Linked DNA regions of Canis lupus familiaris. Each later gene encodes a partner of the first gene's protein in a complex. Links are inferred from orthologs where the notes say so. Each region holds a gene or a part of one and is shown in the gene's direction. Other genes may lie near its edges. The genes, in order: CACNA2D1 and CACNA1E.

Evidence for each region.
Region 2: the proteins of CACNA2D1 (region 1) and CACNA1E are in contact, whole or in part, in a cryo-EM structure (PDB 8EPM), measured with the Homo sapiens proteins. The link is inferred for Canis lupus familiaris from reciprocal best matches to the Homo sapiens genes CACNA2D1 and CACNA1E. Residues at the interface, in NP_001353796.1 of Homo sapiens: Thr170, Asp171, Tyr173, Ile233, Leu235, Ser261, Gly262, Ser263, Ser265, Gly266, Leu267, Lys270, Ala327, Lys328, Gly329, Ile330, Thr331, Glu366, Gln391, Asn393, Tyr394, Ile416, Gly417; in NP_001192222.1 of Homo sapiens: Gln110, Leu112, Pro113, Glu114, Asp115, Asp116, Lys117, Pro119, Arg122, Asn630, Phe631, Asn632, Asp633, Gly634, Ile1330, Gly1331, Asn1332, Val1334, His1336, Met1341, Val1343, Arg1346, Arg1393, Ser1394.

The regions. Positions count from the first base shown.
Region 1 is NC_049239.1:21,857,420-21,861,232, reverse strand, and holds part of CACNA2D1 (voltage-dependent calcium channel subunit alpha-2/delta-1), read left to right. Parts: intron 1-946; coding exon 947-1,002; intron 1,003-1,422; coding exon 1,423-1,552; intron 1,553-3,813. UniProt on the Homo sapiens protein: The alpha-2/delta subunit of voltage-dependent calcium channels regulates calcium current density and activation/inactivation kinetics of the calcium channel. Plays an important role in excitation-contraction coupling.
Region 2 is NC_049228.1:14,761,205-14,765,468, forward strand, and holds the start of CACNA1E (voltage-dependent R-type calcium channel subunit alpha-1E), read left to right. Parts: upstream 1-1,316; 5' UTR 1,317-1,350; coding exon 1,351-1,454; intron 1,455-4,264. UniProt on the Homo sapiens protein: Voltage-sensitive calcium channels (VSCC) mediate the entry of calcium ions into excitable cells.

The DNA.
Region 1 (3,813 bases):
CTCACTCACTTACCTCCTCTGTATCCTGACCCTACAGTATTGTGCAAGCCTTACTGCATGTAGATTAAGCTTTAACATTTATTTAATGGTAAGGCTTTCCCAGGGAAAATGAATGATTATACCAGTTTGTGAAAGTAGCAAAGACTTTAGATTAAAAATCCTATTTTTTTTTTTCTGGGGGAAAAACATGTAAAAAATGGGGCTTTCTGTTGTGACACTGGTATTTATGTGTTAATTGACTCAGGTTTTCTAAATCTCCTAGTAATCCTGAATATGTGATTGCCTTGATTCTATTTACTGGCCAGAATCTACCTCTTTCTCATCACTTTTTTTTTTCTTTTAAACTAAGTTCAGTTCCAGATGATTCTATACTATTCTATAGTATTTGGCTCAATTGTCATTTACTATAAAGCAGAAATGTACCATATGCCCTATGTATATTATAGTTGATGAATGTCACATTATGTATTTACAAGTATATTCTATATTGTCAAGTAAATAGTTTAAAAACCCACAGCACAAAATTGTTTTTGTTTGATCTTTTGTTGTTTTCCACCTTGGAGTTTTAAAACTAAAACAAGGAGCAATCCTGAATGTGAAACTTATGCTGTGAAATACAATTACCACTCCTCCATGATCACATTTGTTATGAGGCCTCTTTACACCTAAGCACCTCTTTCTTGGTCCTGAACATTTCTGACTTCATCACTTCTTTCACAGAAACAAATCTACAGTGTTTTGAATTTAGAAGCATCATGTGCTGAAATGGACCTAATTATATAAAATAAAACTGCTCCTTAACTTTCTATTGTCAGATTATCAATTTTTTCCAAACAGATGAAAAGAAATGTATGTGTACATACAAAATTATTCAGTTTTTTAATTGTACAGCTTATAAAGGAAATATTTATATTTTTATCAATAATTATTCATATTTACAACTTAGGTCTATTCTACAGCAGTTTCTCCTGAGTTTGACCTTTCCACGACTTCTTGAAGCAGGTATGTGAACACTCAGCTGTTTTTATAATTAAAATTTTGTTTTGGGATGTACTGAGTTCATCCAACTCAGAGAAAGTATATGTATTTGTGTATATGAGAGAGAGAGAGAGAGAGAGAGCGCCCATCCATTCAATAGTTTCAAAGATTGGAATCTTTTTGTCATGACTTTCCTAATGCTTTGACAATTTTTTTCTTTTTTAATGTCATTGGCCTCTATTTTGTAACCTCCTATTTATTTTTTTCTCTTGATATTTATTGGGCACTATTAGGGGCTGCCCCTAGATTACCCAGCGATAAATAAGCCCCACAGGGTGCCTGCCCTTATACACTTGGTGTGCTGAGAAATGAAGGCTCTGGGCACTGACTATAGTGTCCCCTCCTGGTGACCTGCGTCCTTTTTTTTTTTTTTTTTTTCCACAGTTGAGATGGAAGAAGAGGACTTTACAGCCTCTCTGTCAAAGCAGAGTTGCATTACCGAACAAACCCAGTATTTCTTCGATAATGATAGTAAATCATTCAGTGGTGTGTTAGACTGTGGAAACTGCTCCAGGTAATCTGTGTCTTCCTTTTAGGAAGAATCCTTTGTCACTAAGAAATTGGATTCGCTTTTATAATCATTACAGAGAGTAATGGAGATTGTTGTTCCAGATCTTTAGTTTCACTGTAGGCTTTAAAAATTTACATTTTTTAGACTTTATCCTGTCTGGATAAGTTGTAATCCTTTCAACTATCAATAATAGGATCAGGAAAATTGTACCTACTTTTAGCCAAAACATAAAGAAATCTGGTAATATAATACATTTTTGTCTAAAAGAATCCCTTAGGGGATCCCTGGGTGGCTCAGCGGTTTAGTGCCTCCCTTTGGCCCAGGATGTGATCCTGGAGACCGGGGATCAAGTCCCACGTCCGGGCTCCCTGCATGGAGCCTGCTTCTCCCTCTGCCTGCGTCTCTGCTTCTCCCCCCGCTCCCCCCGGTCTATCATAAATAAATAAATCTTTAAAAAAATAAATAAAAAATAAAAGAATCCCTTAAAAATTTTTGCTAAGGTCATAGAATTTTATGAACTATAATAAACTTAGAATTAATTATAGTACTTCTATGTAATTCTAAGCCAAATATATGATTTCTATTTACATTTATTTACTAAATAGGTTTAAGAAAGATATTCTGGGGGTGAGGAGTTTTATTTCAACCTTTCACTGAAATTTACAATTGGATGTATCTGAATTGAAATCAAGAACTAGGGATCCCTGGGTGGTGCAGCGGTTTGGTGCCTGCCTTTGGCCCAGGGCGCGATGCTGGAGACCTGGGATCGAATCCCACATCGGGCTCCCAGTGCATGGAGCCTGCTTCTCCCTCTGCCTGTGTCTCTGCCTCTCTCTCTCTGTGACTATCATAAAAAAAATAAATAAATAAAAAATAAAAAAATTAAAAAAAAGAAATCAAGAACTAAGAGAAAATATTACTTCCTAAAAATTATTAGTAGGCATAAAACATCTTGAACAGTTTTTTAAAGAGATTGAGAATTCAGTTTCATTGTGGGGGATAGAAGATAAAGGCAAGGTGGGATTTTTTTAAAGTTTTGAGAGAGACTGATCCTCCCTGTCACAGGATCCCTGATAATGGAGCAGAGAGGCACAGATTTGGGACAACTGTTTCTAGCAACCGAGGGCAGGTTATTCTAGAAGCAGTGTTAACTTAGAAAAGAGGAAATAGGAGGAGGTAAGGTCATCTGAGCATGTGAAAGGGCTGGAATAGTTGCTAAGCGATCTAGACATTTCTAACAGAGAAATGTTTTGCAGAAGCAGTTAGCTGAAACTAGCATGAATTTTTAACCAATATGGTCGGTCAGTAGGACTTTTCTGATTTACTTTAGCACACCTCTGTGTCCTAGGAGGTGGTTGGGGTAGGAAGAGAAGAGTCAGGCATCAACTCAGAAAAAGCATTGCATCTTGTGTAGAACTTAGACTATGAGGCTATCAACTTTAGGGAGCAGAATCGTAACACCTGTGATGGTATCTCAAAACTTCAGAATCCTTTGGCCTTTGACTAATAGGTGTCGGTAACAGCAATCTGTGCTTTAAAAACTAAATAACATTGCAGCGTACCGATTTGTAATCAGGATATGAAGCTCAGTCACGGTGGCTTTTGATTCACTTCATCCTTGTGCCCCAGGTTCAGTGGAGAAAAAGGAAATTCAATTTTTTGGGGAAAATGTATACTCATAAAGAAGTGACTCTCTAATGACAGACTAACATTTTTATTTTAAGAAGCCACTTAAGACATGGAAGAAGAAGAAAAAAAAACAAACACTCAATGGAATTGAAAGCCCTTCAAAGCCCTGTCTCTGTGTCGTCCAGGTTAGAAGTTACAGCCCCGAGAAGCTATTTCAATGATCAGTTATAATTAATATTACATTTTATGCCTGAGTCCCATTAGTCACCTTTCAGGAGCTTGGTAGCCTCAGGAGGCTGCTGTTAACCATGCTGGGCAAAACAGAAAACCTTTCCATCTCTACGACGTTGGTCAACAGCACTGATCTATATTTACTCTGCTCTTAGGCAGGATGCTTAGACTCTTCAGGCTTCTAATATTTTCATCTGTAGAATAAGATAATTTTTCAGTAATAAGTACCACACTTCCTTAAGCATATCAAATCAAACATTTATTCTAGGAGTTTCAGCAACTCAGTCATACTTATTTTGCATTGAGGACTAACACTTAAATTTTCTAGTATTTGGGAGAGGTAACGTGCATGCTGATGAGTCAAACATGGTCATGTTTCTCTTCTAAAATTCATTCTCATTTTG
Region 2 (4,264 bases), on another chromosome or scaffold:
TGTCCATAATCTGCTCCCTTTCCTCACCTGGCAAGTACTGCTTAAATAAATGCAGCATAATACTCATCTCCTCCACAAAGCCCTTCCAGCTCCCAGATGGGCTTTGGTGCCCCTACTGTAAGCTCACACAGCAATGGGGCCTACCTCAATCACAGCCTATCGTGTTGCATGGTCAGAACTGATGCTTTTCCTGTTTCTCCCATGAGGAGGATGTGGACTGAATCCAGCGCATTGCAGTGTACCCCGTGCCTGGCACAGTGCCTGGCACATGGTAAGCTCTCAGTATTGACTGAATGAGTGTGTCTTTCACAGGGAAATCTGGCCACATCCTCCTTGGCATGGAAAAGGAAATGAGGCTCAAGGACGCTAGCAGAGGCACCTGATTCCACACTTGTTTCCCAGATCCTGCGCTGGATGCATGCATTAGGAAAGGAGGAAGGGGCCTATACAGGGGTCCCAGTTCTCAAAGATAGGCAGCCTGTGGCTGATCCTGGGGAGAGAGTGCGAGAATCAGGGCAGCAGGTGGTGGGTGGCATTTCTCCAGAGGAGTCAGGACACTGAGGAATGGGTAAGATTCTTTCACCCGAATGGGAGAAAACTGGGAGAGAACAGCCAGCTAAGGTGTCTGCGGCTGGGGCCCAGAAAGATAGCCTTTGGAGTTCTCCTCTCCTTGTAGCGGTACCCGGGGCCATTCATGACGTTGCATCTAATCATTTGTTTAACCTCTGTCTTCTGCACTGGACTGTGAAGTTCATGGGGCAAAAATCAAGTCTATTTTACCTAACTTACCTCTGGATACTCAGCACTTGGCGCTCAGCCTGGTCCACAGCGGATGCTCCTGAGCTCAGCGATCATTTGCGGGGTGCCTGCTGTGAGCCAGCTTCTGGGCCGGACCTGGGACCTGGGACCTGGGACGGAGCTGTGGGGCAGCCCCAAGCTTTGACGTCATTAACCTCTTGCTTTTCTCTCTTTCTCTCGTGCTCCCCTCCCCCACCCCGCGCAGAGCAATGTTCTGGGATGGTGCCCGAGATGCGTGGACCGAGCCCAGGCCGCAGGCTGCCCGAGCCCGCCCCCTGCCCCGCCGCGGCCGGGAGCCCTGAGCCCTGGGCCGCGGGCCGCCGCCGCCACGTCCTGGCCCTGCCTGAGGAGGAGGCATGGAGGCCCCAGCAGTGCTCCCTGCTCGAGGCCGACGCCTCGGACGAGGTGGGCATGCTGCCGGCCTCCCCGCGCGCCGCCGCCTCCGGCGTCGACAACTTCTTCCCGGTGCAGGAGGGCGAGGGCGCGGGCTGGGAGGGCGGTGCGGCCCTGGACGCCGGCGCCGGCCCCTTCCTCCCGGTGAGCCCCGAGGTGATGAAGCGGCGGCGCGGGGGCCTCATCGAGCAGCGCGACATCATCAAGGCCCACGAGGCGCACAAGATGCAGAGCACCCCACAGGCGCGGCGCAAGGAGTGGGAGTGAGTACGGGAAGGCGGCCCGCGGGCGCCCGGGGCGGGGAGGGTGGCCCGGGGGTCGGTGCCTTTGTCGCTGCTGCCGCTCAAGAGGCGCTTGACCCCTCGAACGAGGCCCCTGCGGTGAGCCGGGACCTCGCCAACCAGCTGTAGGCTGCGTCCCACCGCCCTGAGGCCTACCTCCATCAAAAGGCCGCAACCCGCCTTCCCCTCCAAAGCATCCGTAGTTTACTAAGACCTGGGGAAGGAGCTGTGGTCTGTCTGTTCCACACTCTGAGCCTCCCTGGAAAGAGGGGTTCTGTAAAACCATGGAGAAGCCACCAAAACACGAATCATCAGCCTCATCTTAATTCTGGAATTGTAGCTAAACGTACGCTTGCTAATGTCATCCTTGGGGTGATGATTACATTTTGGGGGCAAGTCTTCAGTGGTGGAAGAGCTCATGGCCCCCATAGCTTTATGTCTGATCCTTTAGGGTAGAGCAATCTGTCTTAGACTGCCTTTAACTCAATTCACGCCTATGGAGAAGTTGCGCCTTATTCCAGTGTCCTACGTTAAAGGAAGAGCATATTGCATCTGATTCTCATTTGGTGCTCCACGTGTATACCCCACCTAGGGGCTTTGTTTCATATTTTTGGATGTCAGTGTATGTTCTGCATGTTTGCATGTCTTGTGGTCTGTATGTCTTTAGGTTGTTGAGTTGTTGGATGTCATTAAGTGCAAAAAGACTAATAATAGATGTTTTTTTTATGGCGGTGGTTATGGTAGAGTTTACCTCTCTGGCCTCATTAGACATTCTGGGTGGTGCAAAGTGGGGTGGATTAGCTGATCTCTGGAGGTCTTTTCCTATGGATGTCACAATGTTTACTGGTTCGTCATCCATCCATTCATTCATTCATTCATTCAGCGGGCCCTGATGTGTGCCAGGCTCCTGGGATTCAGAGAGGAGTCAGGCATCTGGCAATCAACCTTCTCTCCTGTTGTTCGTGTCCAAGTACTGTTAGTCTTTAAAATCCTACATAGCTCTAAAAGCCAGGCAACATCCTAAGCACCCATATTAACTTATGTTAATCCTTAACAGAAGTTATGAGGTAGATACAGTTATTATCCAGATTTAACCAGTGAGGCACAGAGAAGATAGGTGACTTTCCCAAAGTCATTCCAATAATAACTATGTTGTTACTGTGATTTGATGATTTGGACTCTGGCAGTCTGGTTCTAGAATCCATGCTTCTATTCACAATGGCACAGTGCCTTTCTTTCCAATTCTCACAGTACTTAAAGTCTATCTCAACCACCAATTGAGATGCCATGACAAGAGCACTGGCTTAGAGGTTGAGACATTTGGGTCTAATTCCCAGGGTGATCTAAATAGTGGTATGATGTTGAATCTAGTTAGTGGTATGACATTGAATAAGTCACCTCATGGCTTCAAAAAATGAGGAGGTGTCCATTTGAATATCACATGGCTCCGATAGTATTTCTTTGTATTCAGAAGTACTGTATTTCTCTGCACCTCCGTCTTGTTTTCCTGAGAGGATTCTGAACAACTCCAGGCCAGAGACTATCTTACACATTTTTCGTGTCACTCAGTGCCTGTCATATGGCCTAACTCAAGAATTCCTACAACACTCACTGAAAAACTAGCTTCACCATGACAAGCAATGCATACGTAACTCTTTATCTTTCTCTAAGTTAAACTTTTGCTAGTTGGGAGGTATAAAAGTCTAGTAGCAGCGACCTACTAGGAGTCATGGTGGGGTTGGTTGAGAGACTATGCTTTCACCTAGGAAGGTCCACGAGGAGGTGAAACAGAGCAGATACATCAGTGGCTGGGTGGTGGGGGAGGGGTTGTCAGCTTTCCTGAGTGTGGTTGTGGAAGAATTAAGGAGGAGATACCAGGGAAGTAGGAAGAAAGCCATAGTGTGGGGTACCTGGGTGGCTCAGTTGGTTAAGCATCTGCCTTTGGCTCAGGTCATGATTTCAGGGTCCTGGGATCGAGCCCATGTCTGGCTCCTTGCTCAGCAGAAAGTTGTTTCTCCCTCTGCCTCTCCCTCCACTCATGGTGTGCTCTCTCTCTCTCTCTCTCTCTCTCTAATAAATAATTAAGATCTTAAAAAAGAGAAAGCCAGAGAGTGAAGAGACAAAGAAGTAAAGAGAAGGTATCTGTTCAGAAGGAAGGAGTCATCTTCTATAGAAGAGGTTTTTGAGAGGTCAAATAAAATGAGGATGGAGAAGGGATCACTGATTTCAGCAATATGGAGGTGACCTTAAAGGTTGCAGTTCAGTAGGATTATGGGGCCAGGCCCCAATTGGAATGGGTGAAGAGAAAATGAGAGGTGATAGAGACAATGCTGCCCCACTGCCTGCCTCTTAATGCTCACAGCCTTATCACTGCAGCCCTTATGGAGACCTCCATGGTTAATAACGTCATGCCTTTTTCCTTGCCCATCTAAACTCCATCCTCATATGGCTCTACATGCCTTAATCAGACCCACTTCCTGCTCCTTGCTAGCTCCCAAACCCTAATATTTTACTGTCTGGAACTCTTGTTCCATCATCAGAAAAATCCTCTACGTTTTTCTAACCTTCTCGGACATTCCCTTCATGTCCTTGGTACCGTGCATCTCCCCCAAGAGCATGGCTTGATCGGCAGCTGCCTTATATGGTAGCCGCCTTCCCTCCCAAACTTCCTCACACTCTTGAGCCTGAAGCTGGGGTAGGTGTCTCCTCATTATTGCTTCTGGACCATTATTCCTCATGCCTGTTCTAAAATAGCAACTTTGGAGCTTATGGCATCATGCAATAGCACCTGC